Anolis sagrei: one gene and its partner. The protein of the gene in region 1 binds, or shares a complex with, the protein of each later gene. Links are inferred from orthologs where the notes say so. Each region holds a gene or a part of one and is shown in the gene's direction. Other genes may lie near its edges. The genes, in order: LSM3 and LSM6.

Region 1 (15,487 bases):
ATTCTTCAGTGTGACTTGCTAAGGTAAAGGTTTCCCCTTGACATCAACTCTAGTTGTGTCCAACTCTGGGGGGTGGTGCTCATCTCCATTTCTAAGAAAGTTGAAAAGCTAGTTTTTTGAGCGGGCCTTCCCAAATACAGCATAGTTATACAGAATCATGGAACGACTTGACAATGCAATTGAATAATGACAACATGGAGACACTCACGACAATGTTTTTATGGCTTTGTATGGTTTTTAAATATTATTATATTTTATGCTAAATGTTTTTAACATTATTTTATGATTGTTTTATTGTTATAACTGTTGAGGCATCAAATTGTTGCCAATTGTGAACCGCCCTGAGTCGCCTCTGGGCTGAGAAAGACGGTATATAAATGTGGTAAATAAATAAATAAACCAAAGAGCCGGCGTTGTCCGTAGGCACCTCCTAGGTCATGTGGCTGGCATGACTGTATGGAATGTCATTACTGTCCCGCTGAAGTGGTACCTATTGGTCTACTCACATTTGCATGTTTTTGAACTGATAGGTTGGGAGAAGCTGGGCCTAACAGCGGGAGCTCACCCCACTCCCAAGATTTGAACAGCCAAATTTTGGTCAGCAAGTTCAGCAGCTCAGCGGTTGACTTGCTAGTTTAAATCAAATAACTTTTTTTTATAAAAAAAATCACTTTTGAACATTAAAGCATGGATAACCTTAACTCAGTGGTAAACAAAAATAATACAAAAGTAGATGAGATAGGATAAAATCTGGCTTGTTGAAGAAGATTTTAGTTAGAGAATAAGCCCAAAGACTGCTGTATTAAATGAATGAATGAATGAAAGAATCATGATCTATGAAGAAGGAAACCAAAGCTGTATTACCTTCGACATCTTCCCACTCATCTTCACTTTCCTCCTCTTCCTCTTTCTTTTTGATGGTGATCTCTTTTTTTATATCTTTCTTTTGAGGACTGCTCTGCAAGCCACTATAATACATGCAAGAATAAATGAGCAGGCATCTATTACAACACTTGCTCTCACTTAATTTTGCACTTTTCCTCTGGCATGCCCATGTTTGCAAGTTAGCTTCTTTCAAAGAAACTACATTTCACTTTGAGTGAATGGGTTCATCTGCAGTGTAGAATTAAACAGTTTGACACTACTTTAATTGCTATGGCTTAATGCTAATCAAGGTGAAAGAAGAAAGCGCAAAAGCCGGGTTGCAGCTAAACGTCAAAAAAACCAAGATTATGGCAACAAGAATGATTGACAACTGGAAAATAGAGGGAGAAACCGTGGAGGCCGTGACAGACTTTGTATTTCTAGGTGCAAAGATTACTGCAGATGCAGACTGTGGCCAGGAAATCAGAAGACGCTTACTTCTTGGGAGGAGAGCAATGTCCAATCTCGATAAAATAGTCAAGAGTAGAGACATCAGACTGGCAACAAAGATCCGCCTAGTCAAAGCCATGGTATTCCCTGTAGTAACCTACGGATGTGAGAGCTGGACCTTAGGGAAGGCTGAGCGAAGGAAGATAGATGCTTTTGAGCTCTGGTGTTGGAGAAAAGTTCTGAGAGTGCCTTGGACTGCAAGAAGATCCAACCAGTCCATCCTCCAGGAAATAAAGCCCGACTGCTCACTGGAGGGAAAGATACTAGAGACAAAGTTGAAGTACTTTGGCCACATCATGAGGAGACAGGAAAGCCTAGAGAAGACAATTATGCTGGGGAAAGTGGAAGGCAAAAGGAAGAGGGGCCGACCAAGGGCAAGATGGATGGATGGCATCCTTGAAGTGACTGGACTGACCTTGAGGGAGCTGGGGGTGGTAACGGCCGACAGGGAGCTCTGGCGTGGGCTGGTCCATGAGGTCACGAAGAGTCGGAGACGACTGAACGAATGAACAACAAATGCTATAGAATTCTGGAATTTGTAGTTTGGTGAGGTACCAATTCTCTTTGGCAGAGAAGGCTAAAAGCTTTACAATGCTAAAGTTTCCAGTATTCCTTAGCATAGAACCATGGCAGATAAAGTGATATCGAGTTGCATCAATTCTGCAGTGTATATACACCATATAGTCTATTGATCATATTCCCTGGGGAAACACAGGACCCGTACAAAGGTGGAAAAATGGGAATGAAAAATTGTCGGTTTTTTTACATCAGAAAACACCTTCCACTGGAAACTGACCATAGATTCATGCTTGATGACAAACAAATGCCTAAAGAAATGCTTTCCAGTGTGGCTATATAGCTTCTGTCAGTCAGCAGAAGTTGACCATAGTGTTGTGCTGGAGGACTTAGAAATTCCTAAAGAGAACATATTAATTAAAACCACAAAAGTTAAACCCAGAAGTGTGAAGGGCTGATTGTATATTTACTTGGCATAGCTTTTGGGGATTTGTGGGGAGTCCTTTGGGAGAGATGGGGGAACTGAGTCCTGACTCCCATATACTTCCATTGCAAGACACCATTGATTCTAACATGCACCCTAATATCAGTACCACCACCAACAACAAAAATGCATAAGATACACCTGAAATTCTAAGACACATCCGATTTTAGAAATGTTTATACAGGGAAAATGTGTCTTCGTATTGTACAAATACACTAATTACCCACCTCTGATTTACAAGCAATGCATTAACACATTTTATTTATTTATTTGCTATATTTCTGTCCTACTCTTCTCACCCTTGCAGGTGTACAGAGTGGCAATATTTAATACTGCTTATTCAACAACATAAAATAAAATACATCAATGCAATAGTTAAAACATATAAATATCATAAAATGATTAAAACATAAAACCCAGTCCTAAGGTCATCATTTGCATGCTACATTGTGCCTGATTGCAAAGCCAGGTGTTCTTCTTTTTTTTTTCTGAACACCAGGAGGGTGTTATCCTATTACCCTTATTTGGATCCACTTACCAACAGAAGCAGTCAAACTATGATGGAAGTCATCAATAAATAAAAGCTCCAGGACTCCTGAACTATCTCTTTCCTAACAAATCAGAACCTAAAACTGGAGTTCACTCACTCATGGTTTACGATTCTTGGAACCAAACACAGTGCTAAGCTTTCGCTTGTTGCTGCAAGAAGTACAAAATCAGAGCAATTCTGGTTTGTTGTTTATGTGAAAACCTGATCTATACAGTCACTCACCTGGATCTCTCTCCCTTCTTACAGGATCTTTGTCTTTCTACAGCGCTATTTTCCTCTTTAACTCTGGGCTTTTTGGCCTTCTGTTCTGCATTTTTGTAGGAGGAGGAAGAAACACTTTCTTCATGTTCTCTTTTCTTCTTTTTTTCGGAGGAAGCCTTGGGCAAACGTTTTGTGTTTTTGGGTTTTTCAGCTTCAAAATCATCTGTATCAAATGAGGGGTAGGATAGAGAAAACTGAAATCACACATTTGGGGGAAAGTGATTATCTCTTTGATGCACTATAATATGCAACGGACCCCAATGTAAATATTAATAACTGCTGAAGTGTTCTCTGTGTTTCTTTCTTTCCCATAATTATCTACATTCAAACCCAGTCCTATTCAAACACACTTAGATGGAAATCTTAATCTTACTTCCAGCATCATTTAGATGGAAATCCCCCAATCTTACTTCCAGCATCTCCAGCAGCCTGCACCTCGTCATTCATTAAACGCCTGATGGCAGAGGTATATTTTTACCTGTCTATTTAGACTGTTCTAAACAATCCTGGGAAAGAAGAAACTGCTATTTCTAAAAACAAGGAATGATGAAAGCTGCTGAACCTTGGAAACTAAAAATGCAGCACTCCCACATGCTGTGTCTTTATGGCTTGTTTTTAGATAGAGTAGATGAGAACATAAACTATAACTGAGAAAAATGACATATAATGTCAGTTTATACATTTCATTTCAAGCCACCAAGTGATAGGAAATCAAGCATCCTATGCAAATGTCTGAAGGCTAATAGCACAATGAAGACTAAACATGCAACTGCAACCACCTGGGTCTACTTCCTCCATTATTGCTTATGTAAGGTTTCAAACTGTACAGTCCTTGGGGCAGAATACTCTGGGTAGTATAAAATACAGGAATATTAATATTCGTACAAGTTTTAAAGCTGACTCCAATTTCTGACAAGCCTATCCTAGGGTTATTACCTTAATACTATTACTGTAATTAAAATATGTAGTGATCAAATAGCCAATAACAAAAACTTTTATTCACAATATTTTTGTATCATCTTTCAAGGCAAAGCACTGGAGCTCAAGCTGCACTGTAGTAAGTGGTTTGCTCTTCTCCACACTGAGCCCTGCCACATGAACCTTCTTACAGCGATACCAGAGGCACTCCAAGGGCCCTTCTACACAGCCCTATATCCCAGAATATCAAGGCAGAAAATCCCATAATATCTGCTTTGAACTGGGTTATCTGACTCCACGCTCAGATTATGTGGGATTTTCTGTCTTGATATTCTGGGATATAGGGCTGTGGAGAAGGGCCCCAAGTGGCCTGCTTCTGGTCAAAGGACATTTAGTATAATGCAAAGTTTTAAACTTTGTTTGTGTTTTTGAATACATGATAACTGTAACCTCAAGTTGCTTCTGACATGACAAATAAATAAATAAATAAATAAATAAGGCAAAGCAACTTGTGCGTACATGTCTTCAAGTCACCCGTTGCCGAATGGCAACCCCATCAATTTAATGGGGTTTTCTTAAGCGAAGAAGACTCAGAACCCTTCCACAATGCCCCTATATCTCAGGATTATATGATTATCCCAGATTATTTGGCAGTGGAGACTCATATAATCCAGTTTAAAGCAGATAATCTGGGATCAGAACTTGGGATATAGGGCAGTGCAGAAGAGGCCTCAGAGATGGCTTTGTCAGTTCCTTTCTTTGAAATATAACCTGTAGCAGCTAGCATTCATTGGGGTGAAGATATACAAATATTTCACACTGCTTAGTTTCCAAGAACATGAGGGATTCTTGAATGCAGTTTTAGATAGGAAAATGTTCAGCATGTTTTAAGGGGCCTATGGCACTGGCTGTTAAGAATTGTGGGAGTTGTATTCCAAAACATCTGAAGGGCCAAAGTTTGCCCATGTCTGGTCTGGAAGATAAATTTTTTTGAAAACAACGCACTCCAAAATGGTTCAACAAAAGCTACTGTCTGTTGCCTTTTCTCTTCTTGATCAAGCTGTTTAGAAAAAAGCAAAAAGAAAAGCTCGATTTTTCTTCTCTGAAACATTTTGTCATTTTCCTCATCTGAAACTTTTTGCTTAGTCTAACAGCCTCTTCTTATACAGCAAGTTTTCCTTATGTAGTTGCTGGAAGCAACTGGGCGAAAGTCTCTTCTGTTCACGTGCCTGTTGCATAAAGCAGCAGAGCATGGAATGCTGAAGACATTCACACATCAAACGCTTCCGCTGAGTCTTTTGGAAAGCCGATTCTGGAAAAGGAGGGGTGCATTTCATCCTGGAAGATTAATAAATGCTCATTCCATAGGAAGCCAAAATCATTTAAAAGGTGGAGACGGATAATCTCTGTTGTTTCCTTTCGTTCGGTTTTGTACAGAGTTATGCAATGGAATCCTGGCCAGAGAGTGCCAAAAGCTGTAAATGGTTATTGATACGCTCTCAGGCCCCTTCCACACAGTTGAATAAAATCCTACACTTTCTGTTTTCCATACAGCCATGAATATCGAGGTAGAGAATCCCACCATATCTGCTTTGAACTGAGTTATTTGAGTCCACACTGAAATATAACGCAGTTCAAAGCAGATGTGGGGTTTCATACAGCTGTATGGAAGGGGCCGCAGATGGGGTCTTACACTGTAGAATAAATGCGGTTCCACTCTGCTATGGAAAGTTGCAGTTGGGTGAAGTACCAGGACTGGGTTGTTGTAGGTTTCTTGGGCTATGTGGCCATGTTCTAGAAGCATTCTCTCCTGACATTTTGCCTACATTTTTGGCAGGCATCCTCAGTGCTTGTGAGATGCAGGCAAAATATCAGGAGAGAATGCTCCTAGAACATGGCCATATAGCCTGAAAAACCTACAACAACTCAGTGATTCCGGTTATGAAAGTATTTGACAATACATTTTCCCATATATATTTATGGATTTTGTGCAGGAAAACGTCCCAGTGGATTGCACTCTGTTTCTGGTTAGTCACAACCTCTGAGGACGCTTGCTGGTATTGTATTGTCAAAGGCTTTCATGGCCGGAATCACTGGGTTATTGTAGGTTTTTCGGGCTATATGGCCATGTTCTAGAAGCATTCTCTCCTGACGTTTCACCTGAATCTGTGGCAGGCATCCTCAGGGGTTGTGACTAACCAGAAACAGAGTGCAATCCACTGGGACGTTCTCCTGCACAAAATCCATAAATATATATATATGGGAAAATGTTCAAATACTTTCATAGCCAGAATCACTGAGTTGTTGTAGGTTTTTCAGGCTATAAGGCTATGTTCTAGAAGCATTCTCTCCTGACGTTTCACCTGCATCTCACAACCTCTGAGGATGCCTGCCACAGATGCAGGCAAAACATCAGGAGAGAATATAGCCATATAGCCCGAAAAACCTACAACAACCCAGTGATTCTGGCCATGAAAGCCTTAGACCAGGGGTCCTCAAACTTTTTAAACAGACGGCCAGGTCATAGTCCCTCAAACTGTTGGAGGGCCGGATTATAATTTGAAAAAAAAAATGAATGAATTCCTATGCACACTGCACATATCTTGTAGTGCAAAAAAAAAATTAAAAACAATACAATAATTAAAATGAACAATCTTAACAAATATAATTTTATTAGTATTTCAATGGGAAATGTGGGCCTGCCTTTGGCTGATAAGATAGGATTGTTATTGTTGTTATTGTTGTTGTGTGCTTTTGAGTCATTATAGACTTAGGTTGACCCTGAGCGAGGGCCGGGTAAATGACCTTGGAGGGCCGCATCCGGCCCCCGGGCCTTAGTTTGAGGACCCCTGCCTTAGACAATACAATACCAGGACTCTTTGGCAGAGAAGGCCAAATCCCTTAAAGCGACAGGGCTCTCGATCCCATAGCTTGAGCCATGGCAGTGCCAAACTTCATTCTACATTTTTGTTTTTTGTCTTGTCAGGAGCGACTTGAGAAACTGCAAGTCGCTTCTGGTGTGAGAGAATTGGTCTTCTGCAAGGACGTTGCCCAGGGAATGCCCAAGAGATGATTTGATGTTCTTATCATCCTTGTGGGAGGCTTCTCTCATGTCCCCGTATGAGGAGCTGGAGCTGATAGAGGGAGCTCATCCGCCTCTCCCCGGATTCGAACCTGCGACCTGTCGGTCTTCAGTCCTGCCGGCACAGGGGTTTAACCCACTGCGCCACCGGGGGCTCCTTCTACATTCTACAGTGTGTCAGGGGCATTCTGTGTATCTATCCCCTCCCTCCCTCCCTCCATCACGGCCTTCATGGCTCTTTCGGGGTCTCACCGCCTGGCTTCCCGTCCCCGCGGGGCCTCTTGCCGGCGCCCTGCAGCGAGGGGCGGCCCTTGCGCTTGCTGCTGTCGCCCATCGCTGGCGGCTCCTTCGGGGGCTTCCTTCCCGCATGGGGAAAACAATGGAGACAGAACGCGAGCGCGCCACTGGCCACTAGGGGGCGTGCCGGCGCAGCCAGAGATGGAGGAGGAAGAGGAGGATCTAAGTTGGCTTCCTAGGCCTTGGCAAACTTGGGCCCTCCAGGCGTTTTGGACTTCAACTCTCACCATTCCTCCCAGCCTCAGGCCCCTTCCTTTTGCCTCTCAGCCGCTTAAGCGGCTGAGAGGCAAAAGGAAGGGGCCTGAGGCTGGGAGGAATGGTGAGAGTTGAAGTCCAAAACGCTCGGAGGGCCCAAGTTTGCCCAATCCCTCTTTTTCCCCCTAGAACTCCAACTTCCATAATCCTCAACACCCTTGGGCCATGATGAGGGATTCTGGGAAATTGAGTCCGAAAGCACTACTATATAGAAGCCAAGCTCTGTGGAAACGGACGCGACCCGGAAGTGAGCGCCTGTGAGAGTGCCTCTAAAACAAGTCTAGAGCGCCTGCCGCTAACACAGCGGACCGGGCATAAAATACCGCGAGAAGAGACTCGAACCGCCTTTGAAAAAATGGCGGACGAGGTTGATCAGGTGGGTGACCGCGTTATCTCCTGCGTCTCTTTTGGGGAGGAAATGAAAGGGAGAAGGGGGGCTGATTTTAACATTTATTTATTTATTTACGACATTTATATGCCGCCCTTCTCACCCCGAAGGGGACTCAGAGCAGCTTACAAGGGATATATACATACAATGGCCGGAATCACTGGGTTGTTGTAGGTTTTTTCGGGCTGTATAGCCATGGTCTAGAGCAGTGGTTCTCAACCTGGGGTCCCCAGATGTTTTTGGCCTTCAACTCCCAGAAATCCTAACAGCTGGTAAACTGGCTGTGATTTCTGGGAGTTGTAGGCCAAAAACATCTGGGGACCCCAGGTTGAGAACCACTGGTCTAGAGGCATTCTCTCCTGACGTTTCGCCTGCATCTATGGCAAGCATCCTCAGAGGTATATTATATTATATATTATAGTATTAACATAGTACCACATCAGTATTAAATATTACTATATTGTACTATACCATTATATTGTAATGTTATTAGTAATATTACATGTAATATAAATATATAATTATTAAAATATCATATTATATTGTATTACATTATAATATTATAAATATTATATGTATATACAATATACAGTGGGTTAAAGTGCTGAGCTGCTGAGCTTCTCGACTGAAAGGTCGCAGATTCATGGAGTGGCGTGAGCTTCTGCTGTCAGCCCCAGTTTCAGCTAACCCAACAGTTCGAAAACATGCAAATGTGAGTAGATCAGTACATACCGCTCCAGCGGGAAAGTAACGGCGCTCCATGCAGTCATGCTGACCACATGACCTTGGATGTGTCTATGGACAACGTCAGCTCTTTGGCTTAGAAATGGAGATTAGCACCACACCCCAGATCAGACACAACTGGACTTAATGTCAGGGGAAAACCTTTACCTTTACCTATATGTATATACAATATATTATATTACATTGCATTATATTGTATTATTAGAATAGCACAGGAAACAAGGTGGAACTGTCCCCTGGCCCCCTCTCTCTTCACTCTGGCCCAGAGCAGCAGTTGGTGCTGCAGGGAGAGGTCCCCGACAGATGACATATCAGGAGGAGGATGGAACTGTCCCAATTCCTAATGTTATCCCAATTCCTAATGTAATGCCTTATTTTGCATGGAGTTCATTTTGGAGAGCAAGTCTTGTCATAAGGTACATGTTCATCCTTCTGAATCCAAGTGTATATACACTGCAGAATTGATGCAGGAGTGTGGTTTCTCAGTGAATTTTCTATAGAAGCCAAGGTGACTAAACCAAGGCTGCATTTACACTGTAAAATGGATGTAGTTTGACACCACATAATGGCTGAATGTTATGGCATCCTGAGAGGTGTAGTTTTAGCCGCCTCTGCCAAAGATCGATGTGCCTCATCAAACTGCAAATCCAAGGATTCCATTGGATTGAGCCAAGGTAGTGAAAGTCGAATTGCATTAATTCTGCAGTATAGATACACCCAGACGTTATCATACTTGATATGTATCAGGAGAAGACTTGACTCACTAGAAAAGACAATAATGTGTTGTCGGAGGCTTTCATACCAGAATCACTGGATTGTTTGTGAGTTTTTTGGTTTGGAAAATGGCATTCACAACCATTTGCAGATTATACTATAAGAGTTATACAATATAGTAATATACAATACAGATATTGTAAGATGCTAATAATATAATGTATTGTGTGTGTGTATGTATGTTGTTGTTCATTCGTTCAGTCATCTCCGACTCTTCGTGACCTCATGGACCAGCCCACGCCAGAGCTCCCTGTCGGCCGTCACCACCCCCAGCTCCTTCAAGGTCAGTCCACTCACTTCAAGGATGCCATCCATCCATCTTGCCCTTGGTCGGCCCCTCTTCCTTTTACCTTCCACTTTCCCCAGCATAATTGTCTTCTCCAGGCTTTGCTGTCTCCTCATGATGTGGCCAAAGTACTTCAACTTTGTCTCTAGTATCCTTCCCTCCAATGAGCAGTCGGGCCCCATTTCCTGGAGGATGGACTGGTTGGATCTTCTTGCAGTCCACGGCACTCTCAGAACTTTCCTCCAACACCACAGTTCAAAAGCATCTATCTTCCTTCGCTCAGCCTTCCCTAAGGTCCAGCTCTCACATCCGTAGGTTACTATCTTGTAAGCTGCTCTGAGGTTCTCTTCAGGGTGAGAAGGGTGGCATATAAATGTCATAAATAAATAAATAAGAGCCAAAAACCCATTTGAGTAGAATCTTCTCAAATAGTATACAACCAAATATAGTATGTGTCAATGTCTTTTATTATGTTTTTTTTACTCCAATGGTTTTATTGTTTTAGTATATTTTATTGTTAAATGTTTTTAATTATGTTACTTGTAACCTTTGTTTATGTTGGGCTTGATCCCCCTGTAAGCCGCCTCAACTTCCCTTGGGGAGATTGTGATGGGATATAAGAATAAAGTTGTTGTTATTATTATTATTATTATTATTATTATTATTATGTCTTCAGTTGTAGGCTTTGAAAAAAAATGCTTTACTCACAGCCTTCATGTTCAGCATAACACAGGTACACAGCTTATCAGTCCAATTTCAGATATATTTGAGATAGTTTCTATGTGCAGATGACACAAGGCTTCTTTCTTTCAACAACAGCAGGCAAGTGTTGGTCTGAGTCTAAGAAGAAATCTAAAATGGAGTCTGAGGTCTGAACAGTCTCAGATCAGATCATGTGGTGTGCAGCCCCTCCCACAACCTCTCATGAAACATAGAGCAAAAGAAGCTACATATCAGAACAGGCATACAAAACAGTAAGAAAACAGAATATATTAACAGATTACTAGAGGAGGCTTGAAGAAGGCTGTAATTTCCAACATTTGGGCAGTATGGTCATGTTCCAGTAGCATTTTCTCTAGACATTTTGCTTGCATCTGTGGCAAGCCTCTCAGGATGCTTGCTATAGATACAGGTGAAACATCAGTAAATAATGCTTCTGGAACATGGCCATATAGTCCAAAAAACTTACAGCAACCCAAAGACAATAATGCTTGGGAAGAGCACTAACCACTTTATCACACTAGAGAAAAAAAATCCACTTAAAATCTGGCTTCTGCCTCCTGCAGAATTCTGGGGTAGTTTAGTGAGCCAGAAACCGGATTTTAAGTGGATTTTTTCTTCTGTGTGACAACAGTAACACCGCATTTTCGATGGATAGAATCAAGAAATTAAAAACAGGTGTCATGTAATGAAATGAAGTACTTTTTGCTTCCTAAGTAGCTTTTCTATAGAAGTGACTAAGTGGCTAAACTGAGACTGTTGTATTTTAGATGTATCATGAGAAGACATGACTCACTAGAAAGAATGACAATGCTTAGAAAGGTAGAAGGTAGGAAAAGAGGAAGGCTGCATAACATATCAAGGAAGCCAGAGTAAATGTCATCTAAGGCTTTTCTTCATTGAGTTCATCCGTATCGTTTTATCCATAGCAATTATTTGTGATCTCTTTCTTTATAGCAACAAACTACTAATACAGTAGAAGAACCTTTGGATCTCATCAGACTTAGTCTTGATGAACGAATTTATGTGAAAATGAGAAATGACCGAGAACTTCGAGGCAGATTACATGTAAGTGAAACTCTATTGAAATGCATGGTGATGGTAAACTGCACTATAAAATAGAATTTGGCTAGTGTTCATCCAAAAACTTTTACAACAAAGATTAATGCATTAATTACCACAAAAGACAGAAGAGACGTTCAACACGTTTGAGCAGATTTGTATTCAAAAATAACAACATGCACATGTTAAATGAAGTTTCTCTACATCCCTAATCACAATCCTTTGAATATCCTTTGAAAATGGTAAATTTTCATGTAGCCTATACAATTTGAAAAGTGTGGATTTATCTTATTTCTCAGAAGGCTTCCTGAGATGGCATTTCTATAAATGAATGAGCAGGTGCAATTCATGTTTTCAAAGTGCAGTGTCCTCATGTGAATCATTGAACTGGCTTAGTGGCAGCAGAACAGTAGACTGCTCACAGAAGGGACCTTTCACCTGTGTAAAAAAAAAAACTGCCTCTTGATATGGCCACTTTTTCTTCCGACACCCCAAACAGACAGCAGGTGAGATCTGTGAATGCATGTTGCCAGGGAATATGCCTGGCAGGTGGAGGATTGGGTTTTAATCTTCATCTGAACTGAAGAGTGGGAAGCAGACTGTTTAGGATGCAAAGGTAGATATGCAAGTGAACCCAGACCCCCTCCTGCCCTGTTGAATTATTGTCAGGTAAACCAGTTATCCTTTATTGCACTGGCTCATTGGAGCTAAAGAATCAAAACAAACACTTTCTTATATGGGAGAAAATATTTCAAGATGGAGTCTCCCTATGTTCAAATAAACACCTGCTTTATTCCCCCACCACTACTATTTCTCTTTGAGGCATAGCTACAGTTCCATCCATACCTGGTTCTTTAATGTGTGCCTTGTTTCTTGGTAAAAGGAATCCTGATTGTTTCAGGGTTGCCATCTTATTTACTTTGGGTTAAAGGCTTTGTATATATTTTTGAATAAAAACAAAAATTTCAGGCATTACCTTATCCAAAAATAAACATTGTTTGGTTCTCTGCTGGAGATGTAAATTGTTTATAAGGATGTAAATATTGTCATTAATATTAAAAATTAAATATATTATGAACATCTCATTTTCAAAGGCTTACGACCAGCATTTAAATATGATTTTGGGTGATGTTGAAGAAACTGTGACAACAATAGAGATTGATGAAGAAACGTATGAGGAAATCTACAAAGTAAGACATTTGAATATTCTGCAAATGTCAAGTGCTAGTTTAGATGTAGATCTAAAATGGATCTTTTGGATCTCTATTTACTTATTATAGATCTATACAACATCCTACATGTAAACTAGATTTAACTTGAGTAATGTGTAAATTAAAATACAAGTTATTGTTTTTCTGTTTGTATAATTTTTTTTATTTAAGATTTACTGCTAGAAAATGTGTTTTTTTAATGTCTGGGCTTTGACATTTTTAAAGTAACTTGAAATTTTTACAGCAGATTTTATGTTTTGGTTTGTTTTTCATAGCCTGAAAATTTCTGCTTTCTCTTTTCATAGTCCACCAAGAGAAATATCCCAATGCTGTTTGTCAGAGGAGATGGAGTCGTACTTGTCGCTCCTCCACTGAGGGTTGGCTGAAACTATGAAATTGGATTGTTTGGACCTCAACTTACTGGTTTCTTCTCCTCTTAAATATAAAGACTCTGCACGTAATTTTACACAGATCTTTACAACCTAGACTGTGTATTGTGAATTCATGACTTGATTTGGGAAATAAATGTTATAAAACGTGTTACCTGGAATAATATAAGTAACATTCCCTTCTGCATCAGATTGGTGTATTCAGCATTTTAGTTAATGTCTGTGGGCACTGCTCTCCTATTTTTTTTAAATAAATTTCATTTACTTATTTTGTATATCTGCTGATGTATAAGCACTATTCACACACTGCTTTTACTTCAGTGTGGTGCAGTATTCTCATGATTATTTCTGTTTCTGTTTGGTTCCAATTGACCACATCTAGTGCAAATCAGTTAGGACTGCATTATATGTTTACTGTTTTAAGTGATATTCACTGAAGAAGATTAAAGGGGATACATAAGGCATGGGCAAAAGTCCAGGTGTTTTGGACTTCAACACCCACAATTCCTAACAGCCGGTAAGCTGGCTGGGATTTCTGGGAGCTGGAGTTCAAAACACCCAGAGGGCTAAAGTTTGCCCACGCCTGGGCTACATGCACACTGTGTATATAAACTTCAGTAATTGTATCTCTCTGCAAAAAATGCCAGAAGGTCTACAGAAATGCAGTGAGGAAGACATACAGGATGATCATGAAGTGAAAACCAGTTCTCTTTCTTCCCTAGTAGTGACAATAACTGTTAAAAAGTAAAATTTCCAAGCGGTTAAAGTGATGCAGATGACTCATCCTAACTGTTTATGCTGCACACGTAAAAGGGCTTTCATTGCCCTAAGTCCAGTTCTTAGTCTTAAATCAATTATTGTTAATAATAATGATTATCTTTTTTTCCTACCCTGTCTTTTTTCGCAATAGGTATCCATTAAATCAATATGACTTAAAATGCTGGTTTATCAACCTCTCAGTGATTCATTGGCTACATTCTAGCTTAATCAAAAAATTGGATTTGAGCCATTATAATTACACTTGAATAATGGAGGAGGATTGACACATTGTGTTCTGTGTAATGAAATGGTTTGGCACGATTCAGCAAGTGCTGGCATAGCATTGTTCAACTTTCTCTATTTAGCACTGCTGTTATATTTTTATATATGTACAATCAGTCTCCAAGCATTTGGCAACAACTGTTCTTCATTTTCCACAACACTCACCACTCCAAACTGTCGTATTTGCCCTCTGTGCCTGTGACCTTGCATGATTCCTGCCTCTGCGGAACACTTTGGATCTTCATGAAACACTAGGTGGTGCTGCCTGTGTTCAGATTATGTTTGATCTGGATAGCAATGTAACTGGCCTGTTATCTCATCAATAATGTAACTCAATGTACTATGCGGCAAAGTATTATCATCAAATTAATCCATTTGTTTCTGATGAAATGTTGCCTTAATGTGGAGTCCTACGTAGGCAGTTACAACGTGCTGAGCAGTAATCCTTAAAGAACAAAATGTTTCCTCGTCATTTTATAAATATCAATGACTCAAGACTTAAAATGGTTAGGTACATTTATAGTCTCAATTTTATGCTCCCTGCAACAGTATTACATCTAGCAGTTGTGAACAGGTGCATAGAGGAAAGTAGAGGGGCGTAAGAAGAAAACAGGAAGGATGTGTGTAGGCGTTTTGCAGTGACTTTTATAGCCACACTAAGAGGCTTTGCTAGTGACAGTAGGCCTCCCAGTGAACATATACCAAAACTTGGTCCTTTATTCCATCATTGTTTCGGAATACTATTGGAAAACTACTTCTGGAAGACAATCATACTTGGCCACGAGGAATTGCCTATGATGATGAGTGTCAGGAGAGCAAGAAGTAGCAATATAACAATATAATTAATATATAATAATATAATATAATAATATAGCAATATAACACTTGGTTTAGCTATAACAATGAGGCACAACCTGGCCAGACTCACCACATAGATTCCCAAGTGCATTACACTGACAGAAGATCACCTTGCCCCAGCTGGACATTATATTCCTATTGATGCAGCCTAGAATTATTGTATCAAAGCTACTGACACATGCTTAGACTGGTCTACTAAGATCCCCAGGTCCTTTTCACATATACTCTTTTCAAACCAGATATCAGCCATCCTGTATTTGTGCATTTCATTTGTTCT
Region 2 (15,538 bases), on another chromosome or scaffold:
CTCACATCAGAAGTAACTTGCAATTTCTCAAGTTGTTCCTGACACGGAAAAAAAAACTATTATGAGAAGATGAACTTCTTCCTGTCTATGCGATGTTTTTTGCGAATCCTTACTAGCTCATCTATGTATCTTAATGTTGTATTTACTGTAGCAGCAGCAGTAACAAGTGATTATTGTATGACGATGACAATGATGAAATCTTCTATGCGTGCCACCATATACTTGTTTATACTTAACTGCATTTTCCATTTTAATACTACTACCTTCTGTTTGATCTTTTGGAGCCCTTCAGTAATTATTCTGCAACTAGCTTACATAAAATAGCATCATCAGCAAATAGCCATTTCACAGCTCACCTGTTAACTTCAGCTCATTGTTAGTAAAATTTATGAATATTACTTGTGATAGGCACCTCTTTGCTGAATTTACTGCAGTTCTGAAGTATTGCTCTTTCATGCCCTTGGTTGTGCTTTCAGTGAAGAGAATAGTTCAACAAGGTTTTTCATTTTTACTTTCCTATATAGATTTTGTACATAATTCTTTTATCTTAAAAAATGACTATGAAAAGAATAAGAGAAAATTAAATACAAAAAAATGGGCCTTGAGCAGGGTGTTTCTTATTATGTTTTTCCACATTTCATTGTCATGGGTTTGCTCTAGAGGATAATGGAAGGGCCAGCTCCTCTCCTCTTCACATTATAAAATCATAGTTATACAGCAAATCAAAGCTAATTTACACACAAAGGTAATTTTCAGTTTTAAACTGAAACAGGAAAATAGAATAAACTCAAGGGCATGTTTTCACATCAAGGTAAGTCATGATTTGTGTTAACTATAGTTCATTGCTTAAACCCTAAATTCAATGGCAGCTGACCAAATAAAACTGCTCCGTTCTATTTTTTCTTTCTGATTTATATATTTCTGCCTTCCCTCTCCCCTTTTTTATGGCCAGGAGCCTAAGAAAAAAAAGTTGCGAACATGCCATACTTGTGGGTTTTGAGAGTATGGCAAGCCATGGTCTAGACAAGTCAAAGCTTGAGTCAACAATGAAATACAGATTTTAGTTTTTATCTGAGGGTGACTAAGAAACAATGGCTTCTTGGCAGGGTTGAATTCATGTATCACGAGCCAGATTTCAAGCAACTAGATGATGGGTTGTTGTGAGTTTTCCAGGATGTATGGCCATGTTCCAGAAGTGTTCTCTCCTGACATTTTGCCCACATCTAGGGCAGGCATCCTCAGAGGTTGTGAGGTCTGTTGGAAACTAGGCAAGTGAGGTTTATATTTCTGTTGAATGTCCAGGGTGGGAGAAAGAACTCTTGTCTGTTTGAAGCAAGTGTGAATGTTGCAATTGGGCCAGCCAACACCTCCCAACCAATGATCCCCCAGGCAGGAATCAGACAGTCTTTGAAGCTGCAAGGCCATTCAATGCTAATCATGGTGGCCAATTGCAACATTCACACTTGCCTCAAGAAGGCAAGAGATCTTTCTCCCACTCTGGACATTCCACAGATATATAAACCCAATTTTCCTAGTTTCCAACAGACCTCACAACCTCTGAGGATGCCTGCCATAGATGTGGGTGAAATGTCAGGAGAGAATGCTTCTGGAACAATACCATACAGCCCAGAAAACTCAAGGCAACCCAGTGATTCCGGCCATCGACAACACAACTGTATGATGGTTTGTCATGCTGTCCTAGTGTTGTCAGTAACTTGTGGTTTGCTATACAAGCATTAAGATGAAGTTTTGATGTAGCAGTTTTGATACAATTGTTAAGAAAAAACTTGCTGCGTGAAGATACCATTTGCAACATGATATTCACTTGCCCTTTCCAGTGCTAAACATTCAGTCTCAGCAAAGCATTATGAAAGGATCCATTATTTACAAATGTCACCACTAAAGGCACTATAACAAATATTATTTAAAAAATATCCTTACCAAATGAAAAACTAAACAGTTGTAGAAGATTACAGTTGTCCCTGTGTAAGTTTGAGGCATTATGGGAGGGAATTTACTGTTACTTTGCTTTTTCTGTGAACATGTCCTGTTATCAAATAAATCTTTTTTTATATTCTGATGCTTATCAGAATCTGGAATTATAAGCCTAATGATATCTAATATTCATTTTAAACACTATTTACCATCAAGAAAGTGGATTCTGCATGGAAAAGTGCAGGTGTCTGTTGCATTTTAATTTTTGGCCTGGCCAAATGGTGAGCACAAACTATGGCAAAGAACAAGTTAGCCAAATGTCCTACACAGCCATGGATCACTATCTGGAATTAGGGGGTGCCCTAGGCCACTGATACAATATCCTCTAAATTTACTTAGCCAAAGATGCCACCCGGTTCTGGTGTTATGGATACTTTACAGCAGTGGTTCCCAACCTTTTTCTGACCAGGGACCACTTTGACCAGGGATCACACTCCAACATTTGTACCGAAAGAGTTACAAATCAGTTTTGGGTCAACTTTAGATTCAGTTTGGTAATTTGGGGTGCTGATTCAGAAAATTGCATTGGATAGGCCATATCAGATTTAGTTTCTGATACAGAACATATGCCATCCAGTTGTCGCCATCTGTTCACCCATATAAAACCATATTTAAGAAGCCTTGGCACTATAAGAGGGTTTCACGAGACCAGACGCTCTTGTTGCAACAGTCTAGTAATGGATAGGCCGTGGACCATATTTTAGTTCTTGTGGACCACTAGTGGTTGGGACCATAGGTTGGGGACTTTACTGGATATAGACAAGATGTTGGGAGATCTGAGATTGACAATCTGCATTCTATATCCTTGTGTCACATGACTTCTAAAGAACAGAGTTGGAAGTTTAGTTTTCAATGATAATGTTTCCTTGAAAGAAGGAATGGTGCCTATCACGAGGGCATAGTGACTAAGCCTTGTAAATTAATAAAATGTTTTTGAAAGTAGTTTGTAATTGTATATAGCAAATGTGGGAAATTGCAGATTTCTAGGGTACTGCATTAGCACCCCCAAGAGACCTTAAGTCCCACAAAAACCTTTAAAATATTTTGCTCCAGATGCAGTGCAATATTGCAATACCATTCCTTTCACCTTCTGGGTGATATTGGTGAAGATTTCTCACTGGTTGGGATGGGAATCCCCCTAAAACAATATTAAAGTATTTGCAGGCTTTATTGTTGTTGTTCTTGTTGTTGTTGTCATTGTTAGTGGTCCTACTCCCACCGAAGGTTACCTGAAATTTGGAAGGGGTACCAAACAAATTTATTTAAGTGTCTAGAGAGCCATACAAACATTAATGGGGAAATAGGCTTTATAGTGTGGCTGAGTCAAACCGTGGATACTAAATCTGTGGATAAGGGGGCCACAAAATGTCGTACAATATTTGAAAATGTGGTTTAATTGCTTTCATAGAAATATGTTAGAAATGATGATAGGGCCAAGAAATATCTCACGGATAATTTTTCCTCATAAAATGTAAATTACAGAATAAGTGATCCAAATAAAATGAGATTGACTGGGCTGGAAAAGCACAGGAATGAATGAATTACATTTATCAAATCAAAAAAATGTTAAGTGCTGCCCTGTTCATTAGATAATGGCAGCCACATACAGCTCTCACAGTTGTCTTTCGTGTGTCAGACCGAAATGAGTTTCCGACCTTTTCATCATGTAGAGCTTCTAAATAGTGATCTAACAGGAAAATGTTCAACAGCTTCAGTTTTTCCTTGATGTGATCTACAGTTGGCCCTTCATATTTGCAATTTTGACTTTTGCAGATTATTCACAGATTTGCAAAAATCATATTTATATAGAAATTAATCCTGAATGCATTTAAATGGCTTTTAATTAATATAGCATTGACTAGGATATTGACTACTGATCCTATTAAGCTAAAATAAACTGAATTTATTATATTATCTGTCTCACTGGCTACAGCAGGCATAGGCAAACTTCGTCCCTCCAGGTGTTTCAGACTTCTGCTCCCACAATTCCTAACAGCCTACCAGCTGTTAGGAATTGTGAGAGTTGAAGTCCAAAACACATGGAGGGACAAAGTTTGCCCATGCCTGAGCTATAGTATATTTACTTCTATTGCCTATTGGCTATAATGCATTTTGCCACACTTTACCTATCCCTTTCTTCCACACTCCTGCCTTGCGCACAGCCAATAATGAAATGTATGGAAATGGTGCAAAAGGTTTTCTGCAGAGCTTATGCAGAAAACTTTCTGAATTATTTGTGCCTTTTGTTTAAAATCAATTTTCTTGAACAAAAAAAAAAAATAACAATACCCAAGGCATTGTCTCTGCTTCCTCTTCTGGCCAGACATGAAACTGCGGGCTTTTTCAGACTGTTTACTCTCATTTCCCTTGACATCAATCCTCCAGAGAGAAAAACTACAATCATCCCAGCACTCAGAGTGTCCTTCCTGCTTTGCTTGGCAGAGGAACTAAATAATAAAAATTAATGGAAATTACGTAGTAAACAAGAAATACTTTCGGACCATGACTCAAGAGATAGTCACTTATGTAATAGAGAGCAAAGGTTATGCAGTTGAGTGGGATTTGCATACAAGCTGTCTGGCCATATTTCATTCATGGATATATGGCCATGCGGGTTACCTGTAACTTTTGTGATAGTGCCTTTAGTGCTGCTCTCCTCATACTGCCATCATTATAGCATTTGCCTAAATAAATGCAATGTAGATCAAAGCAAAACAAAACACCTCTATATTAGAAATATCTGTATCTCAGCATCCTTACTAAAGTATTGACTTGGCTCCATGCTTTGAAATTTTGTAAGTTGTAGTTTGGTGAGGCACCAGCACTTTCTGGGGACCCTTCTACACTGCACTATATCCCATGACCGAATCCCAGATTATCTGCTTACTCCAGATTGTATTGCTGTGGAGACTCATATAACCCAGTTCAGAGAGGATAATTTGGGATCTGATCATGGGCTATAGGGCAGTGTAGATCTAGGGCCCTTGTACACTGTCATATAAAATCCAGATTATATGCTTTGAACTGGGTTATATGGCAGTGTAGACTCATATAATCGAGTCCAAAGCAGATAATGTGGATCCTCTGCTTTAATAATCTGGATTATATGGCAGTGTAGAAGAGGTCCCAGCCTGGGAGAGAAGACTAAAGACCTTGTAGAACTACAACCCACAAGATTCTTTAGCACTGAGCCATGGCAGTTCAAGTGGTATCAAACTGGATTAAGTCTACAGTGCAGATGCACTCTTGATAGTATGTATAAGAAAATAAGTTTGCCAGCCCAGAATTTCAGGCATCCACAAATCTAAAAATCCTATAGACAGTATTTTTTTCTAAACAATAATTATTTTCTAAATGGGGGAAAGACAATTAAACTAACAATATCGTTTGCAGTGACATTTAAATTATTCTAATGCACAGAGATTTCTCACCAAAATCTTCAATTCTCCTAACATCTACTTGAGGTTTTTTGTCACTTCTTTTCTGCAGGAATTGTGCACAAATATTTGATTTTGCATGGTTTTTCAATACCAGTTCAATGCCAGAATGATTTATTTGACATGTTAGCTATCTCATTGGTTTACAAGTTATTCTCTCAGGTATAATGCTTCATGAGTATGCAGTCTTAAATATACATAATAGTGAATTAGTCTGCCTGAAGTCAAAGTGCTGAGTACCCAAGGCCATGTATATTGACTAGTGAGACAGGAAATCCCACAAGCACTTTATTTCTTGAAATATGAAACTGGTGGAGTATGAAATCTGAAACTCAGCTGCTTGAGTTGGTTCTGCTTGTGAGTAAAACATACATAGGATTGTGATACAGAGTCCAATCCTTCATGTGTGTTTCTTAATAAAAGAAATTCTGTTGGAATCAGTGTGACCTTTCTTAGCATCTCAGGCCACTTCCGCACAGTTGAATAAAATCCCACATTTTCTGCTTTGAACTGGAATATATGGCATTGTGGACCCAGATAACCCAGTCCAAAGCAGATATTGTGGGATTTTGTGCCTTGATATTCTGGATTATATGGCTGTGTGGAAGGGTCCTCAATCAAGAGATAAAGCGAGATGTGATTTATTATTATTTCTGATTTGTTTAGGGAGAAGCTGCTAAAGGGTCAAATTTGGAACAAGCAATTGCAGACCATGTAAGTGTGCAAAGTTTTTGTTTTGTTTTTTGAAAAAATTAAGCTTCTGAATGCTGGGACATAATCCCCCTTCTTGAACACACCTTCTGACAAAAGCAGGTTATTAGAGTAATTCATTACAACTATTATTTCACTAATTTCAATCTTTTCTAGTTTTGTAATTCAGCTCCCATAATTCCTGACAGTTGACCATGCTGGGAGTTGGAAGTCCAAAACATAGTCTAACCTGAAGACTATGGGTCCTTTCGCATAGCCATATAACCCAGAATATCAAGGCAGGTAATCCACAATATCTGCTTTGAACTGGATTATGGGTCCACACTGCCATATAATCCAGTTCAATGTGGATTTTATAGCTGTGTGGAAGGGACCTTGAAGTACATCTACACTGGAAATTAATGCAGTTTGACACCACTTGTACTGCCCTGTCTCAATGCTATGGAATAAAGAGAATTGTAGTTTTACACGCTATTTAGCCTTCTCTGCTAAATAGTTGAGGAGCCTTAAGAGTTTACAACTTCCAGGATTCCATAACATTTAGGGCTCTTCCACACAGCCATATCAAGGCAGAAAATTACAAGATATCTGCTTTTAACTGGGTTACCTGAGTCCACACTGCCATATATTCCAGTTCAAAGCAGATGTGGGATTTTATTCAGCTGTGTGGAAGCCATGACAGTTCAGGTGGTGTCAAACTGCATTAATTCTACAGCACACACATTCCACTATTTTGCATGCTCAATAATTCAATAAAGGAGGGGGGGGGCTGCTTATTAATGTTCCCATACTCTGCGTGCCTTTTCATAGAATCCTAGAGTTGAAAGAGACCTCATGAGCCATCCAGTCCAACCCCCTGCCAAGAAGCAGGAAAATTGCATTCAAATCACCCCTGACAGATGGCCATCCAGCCTCTGTTTAAAAGCCTCCAAAGAAGGAGCCTCTACCACACTCTGGAGCAGAGAGTTCCACTGCTGAACAGCTCTCACAGTCAGGAAGTTCTTCCTAATGTTCAGAATCTCCTTTCTTGTAGTTTGAAGCCATTGTTCCGCATCCTAGTCTCAAGGGCAGCAGAAAACAAGTTTGCTCCCTCCTCCCTATGACTTCCCCTCATGTATTTATACACAGCCCTCAGGCTGAGGGAGATATGATAGCCATGTATAAATGTGTGAGAGGAAGCCACAGGGAGGGAGCAAGCTTGTTTTCTGGTGCCCTGGAGACGAGGACACAGAACAATGGCTTCAAACTACAAGAAATGAGATTCCATCTGAACATGAGGAAGAACTTCCTGACTGTGAGAGTCGTTCAGCAGTGGAACTCTCTGCCCCAGAGTGTGGTGGAGGCTCCTTCTTTGGAAGCTTTTAAACAGAGGCTGGATGGCCATCTGTCAGGGGTGATTTGAATGCAATAGTCCTGCTTCTTGGCAGGGGGTTGGACTGGATGGCCCATGAGGTCTCTTCCAACTCTTATGATTCTATGTCTCCTTTCCAGCTTCTCTTCTGCAGGCTAAACATGTCCAGCTCTTTAAGCCACTCCTCATAGGGCTTGTTCTACAGACCTTTGATCATTTAAGTCGACCTCCTCTGGACACATTCCAGCTTGTTAATATCACTCTTCAATTGTCGTGCCCAGACTCAGGGCCCTTGGGGCTCTTGACTCAGGGCCCTTCTACACAACCCTATATTCCAGAATATCAAGGCAGAAAATCCCACATTATCTGAGTGTGGACTCAGATAACCCAGATATTGTGGGATTTTCTGCCTTGATATTCTGGGATACAGGGTTGTGTGGAAGGGCCCTCAGAAGCAAAGGACCCTTCCACATAGCCTTATATCCCAGAATATCAAGGCAGAAAATCCCATATTATCCAAGCGTGGATTCAGATAATCCAGTTCAAAGCAGATACTGTGGGATTTCCTGCCTTGATATTTTGGGATATAGGGTTGTGTGGATGGGCCCAAAGCTTCTCCTTTCCCAAACATAAGAAAGAAAGAACAGCCTCCAATCAAAAATTCCATCACCGAAGAGTTTTGGCCTGCGCTGGCCACCGTCGCTGCCACGTGAAGCCGAAAAGCGCTGATTGGTTCGGCGAGCAGCCTATCATCCATCATCGCCGTCGTTCTTCGTTCGGGGAAGGCGTTCGAGACGGTGAGCGGACGTCAGAGGGCGCGGGTGAGTGACTGAGGGCGAGAAGTCAGGGAGGGCGGTGAGCGCGCGCCCAACTGTTTGTGCTCTCGCGCTCGGAACGTTCCACTCGGCTTGTTTGGTTTTTTTGGCGGCGGGGGAGGGGTCAGAGACGAGGCTTTGCTGCTCCTCTTCCTTTCCTTTGTGGAGGGGTTCTTGGAAAGGCCCATTTCTGCCCCCCCCCCCCACCTTCGCGCCTCTTGGTACAGCCCTTTCCTGAATGAAAGACAAGCGGCCTTTCTTCATTCTGCCACTTTATACCCTGTGGCTTCGGCCTTCCCCTCTTCGAGCAGCTTTGGCCCTTTCGGGTTTAATGCGTTTTATATTGTCCTTTCCGACCTAAGGCAACTCCATGACAAGATTGTTCAGAGTGGGGAGTTTGCCTTCCTTTAAGGCTGAGCGGGTGTCTGACTCCCAAGGTCACCCAGTGGGCCTCATGGCTGAGCAAGCATTTGAACCCCGGTCTCTAAAGGAAGCCTGAGCCAACTTGGGCCCTCCAGGGGGTTTGGACTTCAACTCCCACAATTTCTAACAGCCCCAGACTCTTTCCTTAATCTTTGAACTGTATTATATGGTAGATCAGGCCCTCAGGGGCAAAGGAAAGGGCCTGAGGCTGTTAGGAATGGTGGGAGTTGGAAGTCCAAAGCTCCTGGAGGGTCCAAGTTGGCCCATGCCTGGTCTACCATATAATCCAGTTCAAAGCTTAAGCAGCTGAGGGGGAAAAGGAAGGGGCTTGAGGCTGTTGGGAATGGTGGGAGTTGGAAGTCCAAAGCTCCTGGAGGGTCCAAGTTGGCCCATGCCTGGTCTACCATATAATCCAGTTCAAAGCTTAAGCAGCTGAGGGGGAAAAGGAAGGGGCTTGAGGCTGTTGGGAATGGTGGGAGTTGGAAGTCCAAAGCTCCTGGAGGGTCCAAGTTGGCCCATGCCTGGTCTACCATATAATCCAGTTCAAAGCTTAAGCAGCTGAGGGGGAAAAGGAAGGGGCTTGAGGCTGTTAGGAATGGTGGGAGTTGGAAGTCCAAAGCTCCTGGAGGGTCCAAGTTGGCCCATGCCTGGTCTACCATATAATCCAGTTCAAAGCTTAAGCAGCTGAGGGGGGAAAGGAAGGGGCTTGAGGCTGTTGGGAATGGTGGGAGTTGAAGTCCAAAACCACTGGAGGAAACACGTTGGCTTAAGCCTGCTCTAAAGCCAAATCTCAGTGCTCACATCACAACACTATGTAATAAGAAATGAGTTGTTTCTGGAAGCTGCATTGGGTACTATTGTGAGAGAAAGGCAGCATAAGAATAATAATTTTATTTATACCCCACCACCATCTCCCTGAAGGGACTCAGGTGGCTCACAGAAGAACTTTGAAGCGCCATACATAAAACAACAATACATAAACATGTAAAAGAATGAATTTGTCAAGGAACATGAAAGGCACTGCAGACTCCTTCAACCAGAGAAGTTAGCCATACCAGAGTACTTGATGAACCAACCTGGACACAGCATATTATTTGAGAACACAGAAATGCTTGACCACTCTAACAACCACCATGTCAGACTACACAGAGAAGCCATTGAAATCCATAAGCATGTGGACAATTTCAACAGAAAGAAGGAGACCATGAAAATGAACAAAATCTGGCTACCAGTATTAAAAACTCTGAAATTACAACAGCAAAACAACAGACAGGAAACAATCTGGGACATCTAATCACCTCTCAACAAAAGATTGCCCCAGGCACCAACAAGCCACACCAAACAACAGCCAGGCCATCCAATGCTAATCAAGGTGACCAGTTGAAACATTCACACCTAGCTCCAGCAGACAAGAGTCCTTTGTCCCACCCTGGTCATTCCACAGATATATAAACCCTTTTTCCTAGTTCCAACAAACCTGACTACCTCTGAGGATGCTTGCCGTAGATGCAGGTGAAACGTCAGGAAAAAATGGCTCTAGAACATGGCCATGTAGTTCGAAAAAGCCTACAACAACCCACACTTCTACCCCACCCTTCTCCCCCCGAGGGGGGACTCAGGGTGGCCTCACACAAGCACCGTATTATGCTTTCACCATATAACGGATACATTAAAACATTAAAATAATGCATTTAAACAATAGATTAAACATGCTAGATTAAAACCAAATCCAAGTCTGGGTAAATTCAATATCAGGGGTATCCTAAGTCTTCTTTCCAGTTGCCACTGTCCACTAATCGAATGCCTGGTCCCACAGCCAAGTCTTCAGTTTTCTTCTAAAGGACAGGAGGGAGGTGGCCAGCTTGATGTCCCTGGGGAGAGAATTCCAAAGACGGGGGACCATTGCCAAGAAGGCCCTATCTCTTGTTCCCACCAACTGCGTTTGCGGTTGTGGTGGGATCGAGAGCAGGGCCTCTCCTGAAGATTTTAAACTTCATGATGGTTCATAACAGGAGAGACGTTCGGACAGGTAGTCTGGGCCAGAACTGTTTAGGGCTTTAAAGGTTAAAACCTTTATATAGGCAAAGAATAGGTAAAGGTTTTCCCCTGACATTAAGTCTAGTCGTGTCTGACTCTGGGGGTTGGTGCTCATCTCCATTTGTAAGGTGAAGAGCTGGCATCAATAGACGCCTTCAAGGTCATGTGGCCAGCATGACTGCATGTAGCGCTGTTGCCTTCCTGCCGGAGTGGTACCTATTGATCTACACCCATTTGCATGTTTTCGAACTGCTGGGTTGTCAGAAGTTCCCCCTGGGATGGGGGTAAAAATGTTGTAAATAAATAAGTGCCCGGAGTGAACAATCGGTGAATTCTTACTCTGACAATAAATTATACAAAGTCGAAAGCCTGCCTAAAAAGCCATGTTTTTAAACTAGCCCAAACGGCTTGGCGAGTGGGAGCTAACTTAATCTCTCTTGGGAGGGTATTCCAGAGCTGGAGCGGGCCACCATGGTGAAGGCCCTCTCGTACCTGGGTGGTGGGACTGAGAAAATAGCCTTCCTGGTAGATCTCAATGCGGCCTCGAAGATAGGTTGGACCCAAAGCGTATAGGGCTTTATTGGTGATAACCTGCACTTTGAATTGGGTCCAGAAACTTAACTTGCTCTAATAGGGGCATAGAGTGCTCCCTATAGTTAGCTCCAGTTAGTAATCTAGCTGCCGATCTTTGCACCAACTGCAGCTTCTGAGCCATCTTCAAAGTTAGGCCCCACGTAGAATGCATTACAGTAGTCCATTCTGGATGCAACCAAGGTGTTGACCACTATGGCCAAGTAAAAATATAAACAAATAATAATAAATCTTTATTTCTAGACCACCCTCTCTCCCCACAAGGACTCAATCACAGTGCTGGAAGCTGTCATGGTGCTGGGAGCTGTAGTTTTAAAAGTTTTCTCTGCCACAGAGTGCTGGTGCCTTGTCAAACTACAACTTCCAGGATCCTATAGCATTGAGTCATGGCATTTTAAATGTGGCATCAAACCAAATTCATACTGCAGCATAGGTACAGCCTAATAGATTTTCAAATTTGCTGACATCTGATGTGAAAATCAACTCAAAAGCATTTTAAAGAATCATACTAGAATCGCAATTGAATTGCCTGAATGTTAATCAAAACTGGGCAACCATGGAATTGCAAAAAAAAAGTTGTGAATGAACTGTGTGTAGTTAACTGTTTTAATTCTGTTTTTCTGATTCCTCACCCAAAATTAAAAACAGCTACAATATTGGGAAAAAATTGATTTTCCCCCCATTCCAAACCACCCTTTATAATGGTAGAATGAGAGAAGATATCAGTATGGATCTACGCAGTTGGTTTTCCAAAGGAATAAAGGTTAAGGCTGAAAGCAGTATGTTTTTCTTGTCAATAATGGATTAAGATCGAGGTCGGTTTTCTCATTTCACTCTGTATTTTTATCCTCACAGCCATTCTCATCGCCAAGTGACTGGGTAAGTATGTGATACTAACCACCACATCCTGTGTGTTTTTAAACTCTTTACTAGGTGATGAATATACTTTTGTTGTTCATTCATTCACTTCCTACTCTTTATGACCTCATGGACCAGCCCATGCTTAGCTCCCTGTTGGCCGTCACCATCCCCAGCTCCTTCAAAGTAAAGCCAGTCACTTCAAGGATACCATCCATCCATCTTGCCCTTGGTCGGCTGCTCTTCCTTTTTCATACTAGAAACAGATAATATGACATCAAGCCATGGGTATCACCCCACCCAATTTTGGAATGCATACTCCATTAAAATGTAAAAGTACATAGCTATATACAAATAGCAACATCCCATTGGATTTGGTTGGACATCCACCACAATCATATCCATGTCTCCTTGGTAATAAATCCATCTAAGTTCTTGTGGACTGTCTAAGTAATAAGTGTATATCTAGACTACAGTTTAATTCAGATTCTAGAACTTTTTTTCTCAGTGCTGTTTGAAATATACATTTCTATAGGGCTAAATCCAGTTGTTAGTCCCAATATAACAGCTGTTGAATCAGTGAAATAATGTACCATATATTCATGTATAAGTCAACCTCATATATAAGTTGAGGACAGGTTTTGAGGCCAAAATTGATTTTGATATGATTAGATAAATCAAGGGTCATTCCTTGGAGAAAATAAAACACTAATGCCTGCAGATTCAGTTGGAGTACAGTACTTTACTTGGGACTAGCCATAAAATTTCCCCCATAAGTTGAAAGCTACTAGAGGTCATGCCCAACTCACTACTAAGCATAGGCTCTGCAAAGTTTTAATTTTGTAACTGACAGTTGTCCAGCTCTGCTTAAATTGCTCTAGCAAAAGGAGACTCCACCATCTTCATAGGCAAGTGTCTTCCACAACATAACAGTTTTTATGGTTATGAAATGTATCCTGATTTTCAACTGAAATCTCTTCTGGACTCACAGAGCAGAATTCTGTTTCATCGTGTGCATTTCAGGTTGCCTGTTGAACCTCATTTAGTTTTGGCATAATGTGTTTGGATCTATTCAAATCAATGCTGGTACCTAAGGTGCCACCTATATCTCTGTTAATTGATCAGCAATCCCTCTGCACTCTTATTTAGGGCACTTATAAAAATATTGAAAGTGGAAAGCTAATTATTGTCCTGAAAAGTAACTGAGAGGGCCAAGTTCTAATTTCGAATTACCCTTGGCCCACTTTCTGCAGATATTTTTTTCTGGATTTTACTTGTGAACTAATCTAAGTGTTGGTGATGGGTCTCAGGCCAGCACCTCTGTGGCAGATTATATCCTATAGCAACAATGCTTCTGACTGTCCTAGAAATAATTGGATCCATTGAAACCTATTTCTGCTAATGAATTCAGTCTATGTCCCTGTGTGCATTTACAAAGACCTGTTGTGTCTCAGATGTTGTGTTTGCTTGTGGATTGCTTAACCATTTGTGACATATCAAAAACTCATTAGAGAATGTGAAGGATAAAAGTCTAAGTGACACTTAGAACTGAGGTTGATGAAAGCAAAAAATATAAATTTAAGAAGTGGGTAGTATAAGAATATAAATAGGACTTCCACTTAATAATTCTAAAAATGTTGTTAGAGGCTATTTATTCCATGTTATATTTAAATGAAGAAATACGTTTTGTATGGTGAATAGATCTTATATAGTAAAGGTTTCCCCTTGACATTAAGTCTAGTTGTTTCTGACTCTGGGGGGTGGTGCTCATCTCCATTTCTAAACCAAGGTCATGTGGCCAGCATGACTGCATGGAGCACGGTTAGCTTCCTGCCGAAGCAGTACCTATTGATCTACTCACATTTACATGTTTTCGAACTACAAAGTTGGCAGAAGCTGGGGCTAACAGTGGGAACTCACCCCGCTCCCCAGATTCGAACTGTTGATGTTTTGGTCAGCAAGTTCAGCAGCTCAGCTGTGCCACTGGGGCTCCAGATCTTATAGATTCATGTGCAAATCTAAATAAGAATATCAGATTATGTAGCTAAAGATAATTTTTGGTGATTGTGGAACCAGTATCTCTTCATTTAAAACAACCATTTTATTTGATATTTCCCTAGCAAACTCCTGTGTATTCCATCTCACTGTCATTGTTGAGCATTTGTTTTTATCTCTTTTGCATTCTTCAAGATAAAGCATTTTCCTCATTCTTATTTGTTTAGGTCTGGCAGAATGAGCCTGCGGAAACAAACTCCAAGTGATTTTTTGAAACAAATAATTGGAAGACCAGTTGTTGTAAAGCTAAATTCTGGAGTTGATTATCGAGGTACGTTTTTTTCTGTCTCATCCTTTAGCCAGCTTCATATATTTACACCATATTTTAGTCAGGCCAAAGAACCAATATAAACTTTGATGGTACAGAATGGCTGGGGAAGGTTCTGTGTTACCATGAATTGTCTTTTAACATAATTTTTACATAATCCATAAATGAAAGAATAGCTTTTCTAGCTTTCAAAGCAGATTAGCCCTGTGTTAAAAGTTCTGTATGGCAACTTTTTAGTTTGTATACTGAATGTTAGAAAATGAATATTGCTTTATTTGATAGGTGAATGTGACTTCCCATTAGCTATGTGTTTCAGTTTCTCCAGTCATTTTTGTGATGCACTATTTACATGCAATTTTAATGCAACATTTGCTTAGAAAAGTGATTGATTTCATTTATATTTTGCTTGTTCTCCCAAATGGTAGTCAAAACAAGTGTAGTTTTCAAATCTGAATAGTTCTGTGTTTAATTGTTCTAGGAGTGCTGGCTTGCTTGGATGGATATATGAATATAGCTCTGGAACAGACAGAGGAATACGTAAACGGACAGCTGAAGAATAAATATGGAGATGCTTTCATCAGAGGAAACAATGGTACTTATACTTTACTAAGAGATACTAGAGTTGGGTATACGCATTTCAAATGTTTTGAAGAAATCATACCAATCATCTTAACAGAGAAATACAAGTCTGCCTAGAAATCCTGCCAGTTGACCTTCTTTCATCACATATTGGAAGGGAGATATTCTACATATACTTTGTGGCATTGTTATGTGTGGTTGTTTTTTTAAACTGGGAAAAGATTTAGAGATGAAGTTTCTCACAATTTCTCTTCAACTGCTATATGGTGGTAGGGCACATGTGTGTATGTGTGTGTTTTTAATTTATAATTTTGTATGTTTGTTTGTGTGTGTGCATGCACATGTGTGTGGGTTTATATGAAGTTGGAATTTCTACTAGTTTTTTCCACCCTTGCTGGAAATTCAAGTGGGAAAATGG

Evidence for each region.
Region 2: LSM3 (region 1) and LSM6 share a complex: the UniProt entries of both Homo sapiens proteins name them as parts of the precatalytic spliceosome. The link is inferred for Anolis sagrei from reciprocal best matches to the Homo sapiens genes LSM3 and LSM6.

What each region holds. Positions count from the first base shown.
Region 1 is NC_090022.1:52,138,144-52,153,630, reverse strand, and holds LSM3 (U6 snRNA-associated Sm-like protein LSm3), read left to right. Parts: upstream 1-8,011; 5' UTR 8,012-8,092; coding exon 8,093-8,113; intron 8,114-11,606; coding exon 11,607-11,717; intron 11,718-12,805; coding exon 12,806-12,901; intron 12,902-13,227; coding exon 13,228-13,308; 3' UTR 13,309-13,579; downstream 13,580-15,487. Other genes in the region: XPC (DNA repair protein complementing XP-C cells), read right to left, coding at 865-968, 3,147-3,348, 7,438-7,519. UniProt on the Homo sapiens protein: Plays a role in pre-mRNA splicing as component of the U4/U6-U5 tri-snRNP complex that is involved in spliceosome assembly, and as component of the precatalytic spliceosome (spliceosome B complex).
Region 2 is NC_090025.1:47,636,789-47,652,326, forward strand, and holds the start of LSM6 (U6 snRNA-associated Sm-like protein LSm6), read left to right. Parts: upstream 1-8,232; 5' UTR 8,233-8,315; intron 8,316-12,215; 5' UTR 12,216-12,239; intron 12,240-14,440; 5' UTR 14,441-14,450; coding exon 14,451-14,544; intron 14,545-15,019; coding exon 15,020-15,133; intron 15,134-15,538. UniProt on the Homo sapiens protein: Plays a role in pre-mRNA splicing as component of the U4/U6-U5 tri-snRNP complex that is involved in spliceosome assembly, and as component of the precatalytic spliceosome (spliceosome B complex).